2 linked regions of the Oryctolagus cuniculus genome follow. The protein of the gene in region 1 interacts with the protein of each later gene in a pairwise test. Links are inferred from orthologs where the notes say so. Each region holds a gene or a part of one and is shown in the gene's direction. Other genes may lie near its edges.

Evidence for each region.
Region 2: the proteins of HNRNPA1 (region 1) and HNRNPH3 interact in binary tests that used the Homo sapiens proteins (3 or more experiments, as listed by UniProt). The link is inferred for Oryctolagus cuniculus from reciprocal best matches to the Homo sapiens genes HNRNPA1 and HNRNPH3.

The regions. Positions count from the first base shown.
Region 1 is NC_091442.1:57,218,369-57,225,858, forward strand, and holds the end of HNRNPA1 (heterogeneous nuclear ribonucleoprotein A1), read left to right. Parts: coding exon 1-51; intron 52-185; coding exon 186-396; intron 397-486; coding exon 487-579; intron 580-657; coding exon 658-750; intron 751-1,020; coding exon 1,021-1,095; intron 1,096-1,303; coding exon 1,304-1,456; intron 1,457-2,055; coding exon 2,056-2,211; intron 2,212-2,421; coding exon 2,422-2,477; 3' UTR 2,478-2,487; intron 2,488-2,734; exon of another isoform or gene 2,735-3,430; intron 3,431-4,847; 3' UTR 4,848-5,260; downstream 5,261-7,490. UniProt on the Homo sapiens protein: Involved in the packaging of pre-mRNA into hnRNP particles, transport of poly(A) mRNA from the nucleus to the cytoplasm and modulation of splice site selection.
Region 2 is NC_091446.1:60,233,022-60,240,725, forward strand, and holds the start of HNRNPH3 (heterogeneous nuclear ribonucleoprotein H3), read left to right. Parts: upstream 1-2,794; 5' UTR 2,795-3,335; intron 3,336-3,407; exon of another isoform or gene 3,408-3,593; intron 3,594-3,877; coding exon of another isoform or gene 3,878-4,103; exon of another isoform or gene 4,104-4,193; intron 4,194-4,287; coding exon of another isoform or gene 4,288-4,311; intron 4,312-7,224; exon of another isoform or gene 7,225-7,493; intron 7,494-7,704. Other genes in the region: PBLD (phenazine biosynthesis-like domain-containing protein), read right to left, coding at 3,878-4,103, 4,288-4,311.

The DNA.
Region 1 (7,490 bases):
CACAAAGTGGATGGAAGAGTTGTGGAACCAAAGAGGGCTGTGTCGAGAGAAGTAAGTGGGCCCCCAAACCCCCATCGGTTGTGGTAATAGGCTTGCCATTGGGGAGCCATCTGGACCCTTTCAAGTACTTGATAAAGGACACAGATTTTGCCATTTAGAGTAACTCGTGGTTCTCGGCTCGGTAGGATTCCCAAAGACCAGGTGCCCACCTCACTGTGAAAAAGATCTTCGTGGGTGGCATTAAAGAAGACACTGAAGAGCATCACCTCCGAGATTACTTTGAGCAGTACGGGAAAATCGAGGTGATTGAGATCATGACTGATCGAGGCAGTGGCAAGAAGAGGGGCTTTGCTTTTGTGACCTTCGACGACCATGACTCCGTGGATAAGATTGTCAGTGAGTATCAGATCCCAGGCACTTTGCGGGCTTTCTGCAACGCACGTGGCATTCCACTCTAACCCCGGGCTGTTTGTCATCAAATTTCAGTTCAGAAATACCACACTGTGAACGGCCACAACTGTGAAGTGAGGAAGGCCCTGTCGAAGCAGGAGATGGCCAGCGCTTCGTCCACCCCGAGAGGTATGTCTATTGCTTAGTCGGACGTTAAGGTAACTTTGAGTTTTTCCAATCTGTATGGTTTAACACTTATCTCTCAAGGTCGAAGTGGTTCTGGAAACTTTGGTGGTGGTCGTGGAGGTGGTTTTGGTGGCAATGACAACTTTGGTCGTGGAGGAAACTTCAGTGGTCGTGGTATGTATGGTTAGCTAAGGTTAACTCTAGAGAGCTTGTGGTTTCTTGACCCTAGATGACTTGTCCCTTTTTTTTCTGTAACCTGTAGTAGCATATAACAAATGGCCTACGTTTCCGAAGTTAAGTTTTATCTAAAATGCAGCTCTGGCCTGTAACTAACCAGAAGTTACTCCGGTGTGCCAATCGTTGTCACAGTGCAGGGAGCGCTTCCAGAGCGTACCACGCAATTCATATGCTCTAAACCTGCTGCACGTGTTTGCTTTCTTCCAGGTGGCTTCGGCGGCAGCCGCGGTGGAGGTGGTTATGGTGGCAGTGGGGATGGTTACAATGGATTTGGTAATGACGGTAAGTCTTTAAAGAATACATAGGTAAAAATGTTTCTGGCAACTTGTGTTACTAGATTAGGATGATAGAAACTGTTAACTGCTAGTGCATGATAAGCTCAACTGAACCCATAATAAGCATGCTTTGCGCAGGCCTTTAGCCATTACACTTGAACCGATTTTGATTGTTAAATACTTTTGTCTTATTGAGAAGAATTGTATTCTTATAGGTGGTTATGGAGGAGGCGGCCCTGGTTACTCTGGAGGAAGCAGAGGCTATGGAAGTGGTGGACAGGGTTATGGAAACCAGGGCAGTGGCTATGGCGGGAGTGGCAGCTATGACAGCTATAACAACGGCGGAGGCGGCTTTGGCGGTGGTAGTGGTAGGTATCGAGTGATCCAAGTACTTGGTCTGATAGCTAGATTAGTGTTTTAGCATTTTAATGCCCATATTGCGATTGGAAGCTCTTAAAGCATTGTGTGGTACACTGCATGGTATATTAAAAGGAAATGAGCTTGCTGTGCTACCTCCTCCTAGCTTTAAGCTGGGGCCGCCTCACTCCCAAATAAGTAGATGCTAAGCGGGTAGTGGTGTCTGTGATGTGAGTGAGTTAGCATCTTGGCAGGGTTTAGTGTGTGGAACTCCTTGGGACCGCAGGCACTTAGTTGATACATCCAAGACCGTTGACCGTTGGCAGTGGCCTGGATGCATGCACAAAGGCCTGTGAGGCTAGAGAGTACACCTCTAGTTGCCACTAGGAAAAATTCAACTTCTAATGCGGTGAACTGGGTTGCTTTGTAAAACTTCTGGATTATTCAACTGAATGCCTTGTCCAGAGAATGAAAATGCAGATGTGCAGCCACCTGAGTTTGGGAGGAAGCAGGCAGATAATAAAAGCTTTAATTCTGAACACTGAGCAGAATTGGGTACTCTCAGTCACCTTCTCAAGTAACACACAAAGGCCATCTTTCTGTTCCCTAGGAAGCAATTTTGGAGGCAGCGGAGGCTACAATGATTTTGGCAATTACAACAATCAATCTTCAAATTTTGGACCCATGAAGGGAGGAAATTTTGGAGGCAGAAGCTCTGGCCCCTATGGTGGTGGCGGCCAATATTTTGCCAAACCACGAAATCAAGGTATGGTATGAATGTAACTGGGAGATGAGCAAGTAAAAGGGAAAGGAGTTGGTTTGTTGGGTGCATAGCTGATGGTGCTGCCCTTGTCAGGTTTCGCTAAGGCTGTTAAATAGTCACTCCTAAGTTTGAACTTGTCTCATCCCATTGAACATGAAAGCAGGGCTTTTGCCGTGGGCACTTGAGAGGTTAAAAGGCCCAATCTTGTTCTAGGTGGCTATGGTGGTTCTAGCAGCAGCAGCAGCTATGGCAGTGGCAGAAGGTTTTAATAACTGCCAGGTAAGTAAACACCTTTTTTTGTGTGTGCTTTTTTTTTTAAGTTTTTATAATCGCTGCTAAACCCTAATGTAGCTAAGCAGTGTGGCATAGTTAACATTATAATATTGCAGTAAAATTGTGGGTATTAAGTTCAGATAATATTGATAATTCAGATGAGCAAAATTTGTGGGAAACAACTTAATATTGGATTGTAGCCTTGAGTCTTAATATGTTTAGATTAACAACTTTATTCCATATTGTTCAACAGGAAACAAAGCTTAGCAGGAGAGGAGAGCCAGAGAAGTGACAGGGAAGCTACAGGTTACAACAGATTTGTGAACTCAGCCAAGCACAGTGGTGGCAGGGCCTAGCTGCTACAAAGAAGACATGTTTTAGACAATACTCATGTGTATGGGCAAAAAAACTCGAGGACTGTATTTGTGACTAATTGTATAACAGGTTATTTTAGTTTCTGTTCTGTGGAAAGTGTAAAGCATTCCAACAAAGGGTTTTAATGTAGTTTTTTCTTTTTTTTTCTTTTGCACCCATGCTGTTGATTGCTAAATGTAATAGTCTGATCATGACGCTGAATAAATGTGTCTTTTTTTTAAATGTGCTGTGTAAAGTTAGTCTACTCTGAAGCCATCTTGGTAAACTTCCCCAAAAAGTGTAAAGTCAGAATTCATCAGGGTGATGCCAGGTTCCATTTGAGATTTATTTACAAAATGCTCGGGTGGAGAAGCTGTTCTCAGATACATGAGTTACTGTTGTGACCTTCTGAAGTTCACCATTAAAAGCCACCCAAGCAAAGTCATGGGGTTATTTGGTTATAAGAATGATTGTTGGCACATCCTTTGCAATATATCTAAATTGAATAATGGTACCAGATAAAATTACAGATGGGAATGAAGCTGTGTATCATCCATTATCATGTGTAATCAATAAACGATTTAATTCTCTTGAATGGAATGACAACTGTATGGATTTGGGACTGGCAGAGATTTGGACTTTTCCCTACCCTCCACCCCTGATAATGTTGAATCCTACCACAATGCAAGTTCAAAACTCTGCCAGAGAATAGAAGCCAGCTGCTGGCTAATGCTTCCACTCCATTAAGTCCACAAAGATTTAGAAGTGTTTTAAGAGACATTTCTTAAAAAATACCGGTACCAGTAAGACTTGAATTCAATATAAACAGGTTTTTATTAAAGGAAAACTGCAGTTCTGCTGGGTCATGGGTCGGTGTGTGGGTGGGTCGGTCTGTGGAAATGTATGTTGATTACACTGGTTGGGGGGATTAAAACCATGAAGTGGGAGGAACAAATGTTTCTGTATAATTTCATATTAACTGCAGTTTTCCTTTAAACATGACACAAGACCACACAATCATCTGAAAGTGTTAATTGTATATATAGATAATGATTTCTAAACCTTTCATAGTTCATGGATACCCAATAATTGTTATTTGTAAATAGGTTCTTTGAAGCCTACCCTCTTTAATTTCAGTGCCATTGTATCTAGTAGTATAGATCATTGTTTACTAGTAGGACTGTATATGCCATCCCAGGGGTGTGTTGGAACATTGGGGAGGAGGGTGGGAGGGAGGTGGGTGGAAGGTGGTGGGGGGTGGGTGAGCGTGGACGGTAGTTCATGATACTGGCTGAGTTTGCAATAGCAGGTGGAACCTTTAACTGTTGAGGGAGTTTGCAGATACATCAGGATTCGTGACAATGCCTTTAAAGATCCAGGAGAGATGTTCAGCTACTAGGAACTGCTAGCAAGCATAGCGCGAATGGCTCCGAGCTCAGACTCTACAGCTGAGAGTAGACACTTGTGGTATGTGGAGCACAGATAAGCCAGGGGCAGGCCACGGCACCCTCCATGAAAGCTAGGAGGAAGTGAAGTTTGAGTGACCATCGCCAGAAAGGAGGCAGACGAGAGTAAGGCACACCTGACTCTTAGGACTAGCAGTCAGAACCAGGAGGAAAGGTTTTATTGCTATGCTGGTAGGTAAGAACAGATTTTACTTACATCCATAAAGTTAACCTAAAATCCAGTATTCTGTTAAATTTTCCTTAATATATTGAGCCAAAACTAGTCCAGTTAAGCTGAACTTGGTTTTTCTGGAGAAATTGACACCCTATTGGTGGCTCCTAATTGAAGAAAGTAATTAATTCTGTGATAATCTATTTTTGCCCTTTAATTTTATTTGCTGTCCTTTTACCCATTTCCTTGAAATAATGGCTCAAATTAATATATTGGAATCTTCCCAAAATGGGGGGAGGGCTGGGTGGGTGGACCATTAGTGGGTGGGGGTGGTTTAGCTTGATGGGACTCTGTCTTCGAAAAGAGCCAGTTCTAAAGGCTGTTTACTTTTCTAGGGAAGAATCTGCTACACGCTTATCAGCTCTTATTAAAAAAATAATTATAATTAAACCCAGAAACTCCTGTCCATGGCTAGAAAGGTAAGTTTCTATAAAATAATGGCCAGCCAAGAGTTCTCCATATTTCCAAAGTCAAAGGGAGAATTACCAACACCCAAGCACAAGGTCCAATTGTCCATAACCAAAGCAGCCAGATTCCCAGTGGTGGCAGTTAGCTGATGACAGAGCCCTGTCCTAATGCGTTAACGACTTCACCCCTCTCTTTCCTTTGCAGGAACATCCTTGTGAGGACAACCTTTGAGCCACTCCATTTCTCACTGCTATGCAGTTGATACTAGCTGTTTTGCAGCTCTAATTATTCATTCCATTTTGTGAATGAGCTTTATGAATAATAAATCATTTTATAAATACTTGGTCTGCTTCATGTTATTTTCCCATTTTAAATTAGGGATTCAAAAATGTAGGATATCAGTGATAAACTGGTCTTGGTAAGACATTGAGGCAGAGAAAGATCTTCCATATTCTGGTTTGCTCTCCAGATTACAACAGCCAGAGCTGTAAAAATCCAAAGCCTGGAGCCTCTTGGATCCCCCATGCAGGTGCAGGGGCCCAAGGACTTGGCCATCTTCCACTGCTTTCCCAGACCATAGCAGAGAACTGGATTAGAAGTGGAGCCACTGGGACTTGGACCACAACGATGTGGGATGCCAGCACCACAGACTGGGGCTTTAACTTGCTGTGTGGTGGCACCAGCCACAGGCAGTTGCCTTGACTCCATGTCTCAGATCAACTGACTGCCTTTCCCTTCTGGGGGCAGAACAAGCTGCCCAACATGGCAGCTTTTAAATGGGGGTTGGTTCCTGACTGAGACGGTGTGCTGCATTGACACTGCCGCATTCAGGATCATGGTTTAGAGCCAGTGGGCACTCGGACAGCAAGCCAGTGTCAGGCTGCTCCAACAGCCATGTCTCCACTCCTGGCTTGGGAAGCCAGCCGCCAGTGAGCTGTGTTGAGTCTTGGGAGCTAGGATTTGTGAAGTTCACGTGGTAGATCGCGCTGACAAGCTGATGAGACAAGCATTCAGAAGCAGTAATTGTGCTCCAGCAAATGCTTTCTATCTTTCTGCATTCCAGAAAGATTGGCCCAGCCTGTTCAGCAGAGGAAGAGTGAGGTGTGGGTTAGGGGAACTCTGCATCCCAACATCTGGGCTGGAACACCACAGGATAGCCTTTTGAAGAGCTCTACTTGTTTGACAAGTTGGCCAGGAGAGGTTTTGCATTTATTTATATTAAATGGCTTTAGGTTTCATGTGCTGTGCTTTGTTTTATACAAATGAGGGAATTCAAGGTAAGACCTCTGGTCCAAGTTGATGTTCCCAGCTTGGCTATAGGTCGACGTGGCAGCTCCAGAATGGTCTTGCCTGGTAACAATCTGAGAGGAGGCTGCACCTTCAGGTCCTAGGGCTTGAAGTGATGAGGTCAGGTAAATAGTTGAATTTGCCTGTGGGTTGTGTTCGGGACATTGGATTTTTTTCATTCTACCCAAAGATGAATTTTAAAACTTGAGCAGTTAGCTCTGCATTTTACAACTTAACATGTGAACGTTTTCAGTTCTCTGAGACAAAGTTGACAAGTGGGCCCTGTACTAACAGGAAACTCGGGTTGCTTTCATTCCATAAAGCTTGGCTACACGGCATGTTTCTCAGTGGGCTTGAGCACCCACCGCCTGTGCCCTGTCCCTGCTGTGGGCTCTTGGAGCTGCCCATCTATACTTGCATCAGACCTGGGATGAGGATTCCCTGTGGGATGATAGGAAAACCGGGTTGAAGGGTAACAGTAAGGTGTTTCAGGTGTGGAGCCGTGGATGTGCCGAAGTGGGAAATCGGGATCCCCTTGAGTTCAAGGAGATGTGTAGAGGGAGGGCTGGTTGGATTTTAGGTGATGCGCCTAAGGAGCCAAACTCCAGGTCCCTGTATCTGTTTCAAGGGTGCAGGGAGAGCACCTAACAACGCACATCTGAGGATGTAGAAGTGGAGGGCCCCAAGGCAGCGACTGGTGCTGGGCTGTGATAGAACCAGGAAGAGGAAGTTCTACAGGACGTACGTGTTTGATTCCACTGTGGAGCCCCGTGGTGTGAAACCTCTAAAGCTGTGGTGTCTGGTCAGATTCCCGAGTGGAGAACCGCTCGCCCAGCCTCCTGAGAGCCCTGGCACTTCAGCACCCAGGCTGAGAGGTGAAGTGGGGGCAGGACAGAATGAAAGGCTGTGTGTGTGTGTGTGTGTGTGTTCCAAAGAGATCTCAGGGCATCACCAGTTTGTGGGGCTCCCAGGAAATGGGGCGGGGAGCTCCTCAGACGATCCACGCCCCTGACTAAAGGAGTTTAGACGGCTGGATCTCCACCCTCTTGAAGCCCACGTTTTCTTGACTTCTCAGGCGAGCTCTGGAGGGAAAAGAGAATGAACCTGGCAGCATCCGCCCAGCCCTGGACCCCAACAAGTAGTGCTCTGAGCGCCCAGCTTCACCATCATCGCAAAGGTAGACGCAGTAGAAGGCTGTTTGTGCAGAACGCTTTATAGACCAAAGCTGGGACAGGGCTGGAGGTGAGAGGTCAGGGAAAAAAGGTTCTGGCCCAACCCCCACA
Region 2 (7,704 bases), on another chromosome or scaffold:
CACTGAATCATGACAAAGGAGATCAGTGTTTTGTAAGGAAAGTAGATACATATGTCAGAAATCAAAGCACAAGCATTTCACAAAGCTTTAATAACAGATCAGCGTTCAAAAGGCTTAGCTACCTTAATTAGACACACTCCTAGAAACAGTTTTGTTACGTTTTAGTTTATTTGCCTTTCATGTAGGCAAAATGATTGTGATAATCCAGTTTTTATGGCACTTTGCAATACCTTTGGGGGGTATATGGACAACTAACAACTAATTTTCAACGTCCTTTCCTCCCCCAGAAGAGTGTAGTCTGTTTCCGTCTCTTTCTTCCTCTTTCTCTAAGGCTCTGCGTGGGATTTTCCTTCCCTCTTCATCCTGATGGTGTAACACATGGTCACGTGCTCACTGTCTGGTTTTCCTCTGGGTGGTGTGGGGACTCTTATTTCCTTCTCCTTTTCATCTTTTTCCTTTCATTATGGCCTCTAACAAGATCCTCTCCAGGGTCCCTCTGATCTTTATGCTAATAGAATAGCACCAAATGACTGAAAGGAAGACAAAGAGAAAAAAAATCATCCAAAAGCAGCTGGGAGTCCTCAGTTCTAAGCATCTCTATGGTAACAGTGCCACAGAGATCGATCTGGAAACAATTCCCTAGAGATCACTGGAGCATCGGGGAACCAATCTCACCAACGCTTACTTACAGGATTCAACTTGCAAATCAGAATATAGTAGTTGATAGACTGTTTTAGAGAAAATAAAATAGGTCAGATAAAAATTACATTTACCACTATAGTGTATTTTTTTAAAATGAAAACTTCCTACTTGCTGTAATAATAAAAAGGCAAAAGGAATGCAGGCACTAATTTCAATTCTTTCTTAAGCATTCATATTGGCAAAAGAGTGCCCAAAACAACGAAATTACTTCAAAAACAAAGAAAACGTCCACCGTTGGTGGTGAAAAGTCATTCATATCATTAGAATGATTTTGGGGTTGTAGCTTATAACCACACAAAGTAAATACTTGTGTATAAAAGGATTTCAGAATTTTTTGCACCACAATAAACTTTTAATTCCATTTTCTATGAGTTTTTTGAAGTGTCCTGCTATGTGGAAAGAATGCCAAATCTAATCAGGCTAGTAAATAAACTGAATTCAGGCAAGAGATTTCAGAATTCTGTCAAATCAGGTTGAAAGACTGAAAGGATGAAGTAGTGATGTAACTCAAACCACGGGGGAGGGGGTCAAGGGAAAACCTCACCTGAAGCATGAAAGCTTCCTTACTAACAGCAATTAAAAAAAAAAAAAAGAGGTGAAGTGACAGCAGGACAATCAAGTTTTTGGACTGTTCAAAAGTCTCTAGCCAATAAGCCAAGAACCACAGGTCCCCAGTGATGGCAACTCTAGTGTTGTCATGGGAAGAACTGTGATTTGCCTAAAAATGCTGCCTGTTCACTTCACTCATGGATAAGTTACTTGCAACCCCAGGAAGGTTCAGTGCCTTAAGACCCTAACCCTTGGTGTAATACCATCTGGATTTGAATCCTACTTGTGCCACTCAGCTGTGTGATCTCAGGCAACTATTTCCACATCTCCAGGGCTCAGGCACTTCAAGTGTAAAATGAAGATGATAATAGTGGTTAGTGTTCAGGGTTGTAGGGAGCCATTGTAGTGCCTGGCTCTTGCTGGCATTTGGAGTGATCCAGTGAGTGAAAGATCTCCCTGCCTTTCCAATAGAAATGAAAATATATTTTAGGAAAAATGTAAAGAGTTGGTGAATCGAGTACATTGCTTAGCTCAAGCAAGCTCTCAATACTTGTGACAGCTATTACTACAGCATCCTCATTTTGTTTTTTCATCTCTTGTGATAGGGATCACACTCTGCGGCTCCGGCTTCCTCAGAGCGGGATTCTGAGGGAGTGAAACTCAAGAATGGCAGTCAGGCACTATAAACTGGGTAATTTTTGTAGTCCCACATTGGTCTTCGGCAGGGGTGAGGATGAATTAAAGCCATGAAGTGCAAGCTTCTTTTCCTCGAAGCTAAGTGGCCTCGCGTCTCCACCGCACACGCTGCGGATCTCACAGGGCACAGAATACTACCCTCCTCCACTGCTAACGCCCTTCACCCCACTCCCAACGGGAGGGCAAATGCCTCTTGCACCACGCCCCAAATCTTTTGGCTGGGAATTTTTAGGTAGGTTATAACCTAGCTTCGTCCACATTTCCAACCTTCAGCAACTCTCTACTGTGATCCAAACCGACTTCTCTCGCTCGCTCTCCAAGCAGGTTCCTATCTCCACTTCAACGCACATGGTCTTTTTACCAGGATTACCCTCCACTCCTCCCACGGAAATTCAGCTTGCATGTTTTTTTTACAGTTAGGAAAAAAGAACCAGGACGTGTCATTAGGAACCTGGGTGGCCTGACAGCACAAACAAAAAGTACTTATCAGGGGACACTTGCAAATGCAATTTTCAAGAATGCAAAGCCGTATTTAGAAAACACGCAGTAGGGCTCCATGAGCGACTGAAAGGTTCCGCGAAGGCGGAGGAGACAGCGAGGAGCGATCTGGGGCGAGGAGGGAAACGCCGAGAGCAGGATAGACTCGCCGGCCTACGCCGCGCACGCGGAGGCGGCTCCGTTGGGGGGCAGGAGGACCCCGTCCTGAAGCCGAAATCGGGCCTGTGGACATTTTTGTCTCTCGGCAGAGTCCCGTTTTTTACTACATAACGCAAACATGGTGGAAGGAAAGAGCCCTCTCGGCCTTTGGCGGCCGAGTCACGTGGCGCCATTTCCACGCACTTGACGCGGGGAAGAAGGTGGGGCCTCTATGGAATTTGCTGGCTGTGGAGCCTAGCACTGGGGAACTTCCTTCAAAACACAGTAACGGGAGCGCCTCCGCCCCTCTCTCCTCCTCCCCGAGGGTACAGAAAGGTGTACTCTGAGCTTTAGACGGTGGTAAGGTGAGCAAGAAAGGCGGAGTCAACCCGGCTCCCTCACTAAGCCGTCCGAGTAGGGCGGCTCTTCACTTTTCCGCGGAGCGGCCCGCTGACGCGCAAGCGCACTTCGCCCGGGCCGCGTCAAGGCGGGACCGGTCTCGCGAGACCCTGAGGCCGGCTTTCGTCGCGCTCGCTCCGCCCCCTCCTTCTCGCTCCCTCTCTCCCATCCCCCCAAGCCAGTCGCTCTGCTGCGCAGCTCCCTTAGCGGTTGCCACTGCTGGAGACGGTTGGGAGGACCGTTGTAGGGAGCGCCGCACGAGGCGAACGACTGCCCCCTCCTCACGACCGGACCCTCACGAGCACCGGCGTCGGCGCTTCTATCGCCCGACAGGGTATCTGAAGTAAAAGGGGGTAGGTTGGGCTGGTGGTTTCGAGAGCGGAGTCGGGAGAAGGACGAGACCCAGGAGGGGGTGGGGCGGGGGGGAAGTGTGGAGGTCGCCGCTCGGAGGCGGGCGGGGCTGCGCCTCCCGGGCGATCTCCCACTTCTAGGAGGGCGGCCTGCCGGGCGAGGACTTGCTCGGGTGGAGCTCGGTGGACGACGCGGAGGCCCGAAGTGGAGGGCGTCCAGCCCTTCTCTCTGCCTTGCTGGTTTGGCCTCCGCCATTTTGGGTACGGTGGCGCGGCCACCTTGGCTTCCCGCCCTTCCCCGTTCCTTCTACTTCTTGTTCCCAGCTTTGGAAAGACGGATTGAGCTGGCCGGGGCCGGGGGCGGGGGGTGGTCCAGCTCCCTGGCAGGGGATGAGGGTGGGCGCGAAGCGAGCAGGGCCAGGCCCGGCAGCGGGGCTGGGGGGAGGGTCAGGGCTGCCGCCGGGCGCGCTCCCGATGGAAATGGCGCCGGATGGGCCTGGCCTCCCACCGCAGCCTCCCTTCCTCCGCAGCCTCGGCAGGGCTACCTGGCGGGACTGCCGGTGACTTCTGACGCAGATTCCCAAGATGAGAGAGGCCGGAGCTGGGGCAGGAAAGCCAATGGCGACGGAGGCGCTCAGCTCCCAAATCCAGGACAAAGGAGGCAGACGGCCTCCTTTGTACTTCCGCCGCCCGGTGGCGAAGGTTTTTAAGCCCAGCTTGGCTGCCGGCCGGGGAGGGGGTAGGGGCGCGCTCTCCCGAGCTCTCCGGTCTCTAGGGCAGCTAGATAAACGGAAAGCCTCCGGGGAGGAATAAAGGACGCTTAGCCGGCCCTTAGATTCCAGATTTGGAACTTCGAAAAGAGTACGTACTCATTTTCCAAAGAGGTTGTTTTCTCACGCTTGAACGTTTGTAACGACTTTGGGTGATTTTGCCAGCAGCAAGCTGGGGGACTTACCGAATAGGACTGTGAAATGGGCATGTTTCAAAGAGGCCGTCGAGGCCCAGTGAACTGTGAGCACTTTTTGGACTTTTGGGCCGGGGTGGGTGGGTGGCTTAGCAATGGCTTTGTGTAGTTTGGCACAGATGGGTTGGAATTTGTTTTTAAGTAGGAGTTTTGCTTTTGGAAAACAGTTGTTAAAACACAGCCAGCGATGGCCAAAATGTGTTTATGTATGTAGGAGTTGAGTCGCTATTAAATCTCGAAGAGTATTTTGTGCAGATAATATTTTCCCTTACCATGAAGGCCGTAGAAGTAAAATACTTGATACAGAAGTATATTAATACTTTGAACAGGAAATAAGCGTTCTGAACACTACGGCATAATGTAAGCTCAGTCACATGGCAGTGCGATGGGGGAGGGCTCAGAACATCGGAGAGCTGGCTTGGTAATTTTCCTTGAAGATAGAGACGAGGGGCCAGGCTTAAGAATAAGCGGTTTAAAAAATACCTGTAAGTCTTTACGGGAAGTGTTACCTACTTTTCCAGTTTTAGAACCAGAAAAAAACTGCGTGCTGTTGAAAATGTTTTGTGATGCTTTAATCGAGGATAAGTTTAACTAAATCTTAGCTTGAGACGCAGATTTTCGTGGAGTTTGTGAAACCAGCTCAGATTTTTTTAGTAGGAGATGACCCACAGCTTTTCTGATTGTGTTAAACTACCATACACACCTGTTTTTTACTGGCCATCTTTCTATCATAGTCTGGAAATCTAATTGCATTTTTAAGCAATAATGTTACCTTTTGATGTCTTACCTGGTAAACAGGAGTGGACTGCAGTAGGTAAAACCTTGGTCCTAGTAAACGTATTTATAATTTTTGAAGACTAGGCTCCTTTAGATATTAGTGGTGTCTGATTTTCTAATTTAAAATTGAGGAGCAAGAACTTCAGAAAAAGAGGAACCAAGTAAAATTTGCGTTAAACATGTTTGCCAATTTTTTTGTCAAAAAGTTCATTCTCTTTTATTTTTTGGCATTATATTAAAAATGGAAAAAGTTCCTTTGGCACTCATGGTGCTTCCTCCCCCCCAGGCCATTCCTAGTTTTTAGAAAATTATTTTTTTTGATACATCAGATCCTGTATGACACTTCAACAAATAAAATAGTTTTCCATGTTAGGGGAGTTCTGTATTTCAGTTAATCTCTATTAGATGTTCTTTTAAAAAAGTAGCTTTGAGATAATGAGCAAATCAAACTTCACCCATTTAAAATGTTAAGTTCTTTGGGGTTTAGTGCATGGACGGTTTTGTAACCATCACTAGAATTTATCACTCAAAGATTGCTATACCCATTAGCGGTCATCCTACATGCTAATTCCCTCTCTCCCCTCAGGTCTACAACATTGGTGAAGCAGTCTGGTAGCTTTTTGTATTGTAGATATTGGTTTAAATAGAGGCAATATCAAGGGCCTTCAAAAAGTCATGGGAATTTTATAACAAGGGGGGGGACTATATGCCTGGATTTCAGGTTTTTTAATCAAAATATTTCCATTTTCCATGAACTTTTTGCAGTGCCCTTGTATTTAAAGTCATACAGAATTGACTAGTTTATCTTCCTATTTCAACTGCTGGTATTTTTAATTGGTGTTAACACTTGGAATTCTTCAAGCAGAGCGGTGATTAGACATGACATTGTTACAGCAAAGAAAGGTTGAGATGGATTATCCTGAATAGTTAATAAACTGTTCAGGTAATTTCTGACAGCTTTATTAAGGTATTAAAACAGATGACCTTTTTGTATGAAGGGGTGGTAAAAAACAGTACGAAATGGTAAAAAAAAAAAAATGCTAAGATCTTCCCACCATGAATTAGATCGATTTTTCAGAGTTCTTAAATTTTTCATGGTGAACTAATATTTGATGTTAGATCCCTTCCACTTTTTCTCTTGTTCCTAAGTCCCTCTATGGGAAACACTTCTTAGGTTGGTGCCTTGTTTTTTAGGGGGGAAATTTTAAGAAAATGGTGGAGATCTTCAAATATGACATTTTTCCGAACTGATAAAGGAAGTTCTTTATGAGGATACTTTATATTAATAGTATTTAATAGTATACCTTATATTAATGGTATTTAACTTTTCAAAGCCTTTGACTTTGGAAGAGAATTTTTAACAGACGTTGTTTCCTTTTAAGACTTAGAAATGTTTTCTGTCCTTTAAGGTTCATTTCATAATTTCTATGTCTTGGTTTTATGAAAATCAGTAACAACCAGTGAATGCTTACTGTGAGGCAGATCCAGCACTTTGAAGTAATTCTTACTGTGTTCCAGTTAGGTATAGGTACTACTGTTTTACAGCTGAGTAGGCTTAGAGGTTGGGTAGTCACTGAATGGCAAAGTAGAGATTATTCATATCCAGAGTTTCTTCTGTTTATAAAGTTCATACCAGTTAACTTGTGTACATAATTAGTTGTAATGCCAGTTAAAGTTTGTATTCCCACTTTGGTTGTCTTTTATCTAGAGTGGCACCTAGGGGTTTTGCATTAATAAAGCAGGTGCTGAAGGATCCATGTTAGTGGTATTTAATTATGCACTTTTGGAGAATTCCTACATATCTTATTTTAAGTGCATGAATTCCAAGAAAAAGCTTTACACTTTACAGATGCTAACGTGATAGTTGGACTGATTAGATCATGTGATTTTTTATTTTTTTTGAGCGTTAGTGAATGCTGTTGATATGAAATATGATCCTCAACCCTAAAGGAATCAAGTGAACAAATTGTTTTGTTTACAGGGGAGGAGGTGGTGAGGGAAAGGTTTGAAATATTCAGGTGAGTAGGATTCCTACAGCTGCCTAGTGAAATTTGTAAGGTTCTGGTAAGTTTCTGCAGCTGAAGGACTTCTGCATTAGCTTCTTTTGAAAATGTGGAATTTTGAAAGGAAGAATGGTTGCCTCTGGGGAAGGGAAATGGGTGGTTGACTTCTTTCTGGAGGGGAGGGGGACTTCTCACTGTACCTTTTAAATACTTGAATGTGAATGTTACCTTTTTCTTAAAATTTGTGTTGTAAGTCTATTTGATTAAGAAGTTAAAGCAACGAGTAAACTGTCAATGGAGACAGCATTGACTTCCAAATGGGTGATTTCAAAAACATGGATGTTGGAAGGCATTCAGTTCTGAGTGGCCATGTATCTCAATTCTAAAACCCAAAACTCATTTGAAAACTGGTTCTTGGTGAGTGTTTAAGCTAAGTTTAGAGATAGGAATTTTCCTCTTTCAAAGACAATTTGATATGTTCAAAATTTTAGTGCATCTAAAAAGCTTTGGACTTTTGAAATACCATTTTTCCAACTGCTAGCAACAAGGACTCATTACAGTTTTTTCTAAGGCTCTTTTAAAGAATAGGTAGAAGTACCCTATGCAGCTTCCGAACAATTTGGGTTCT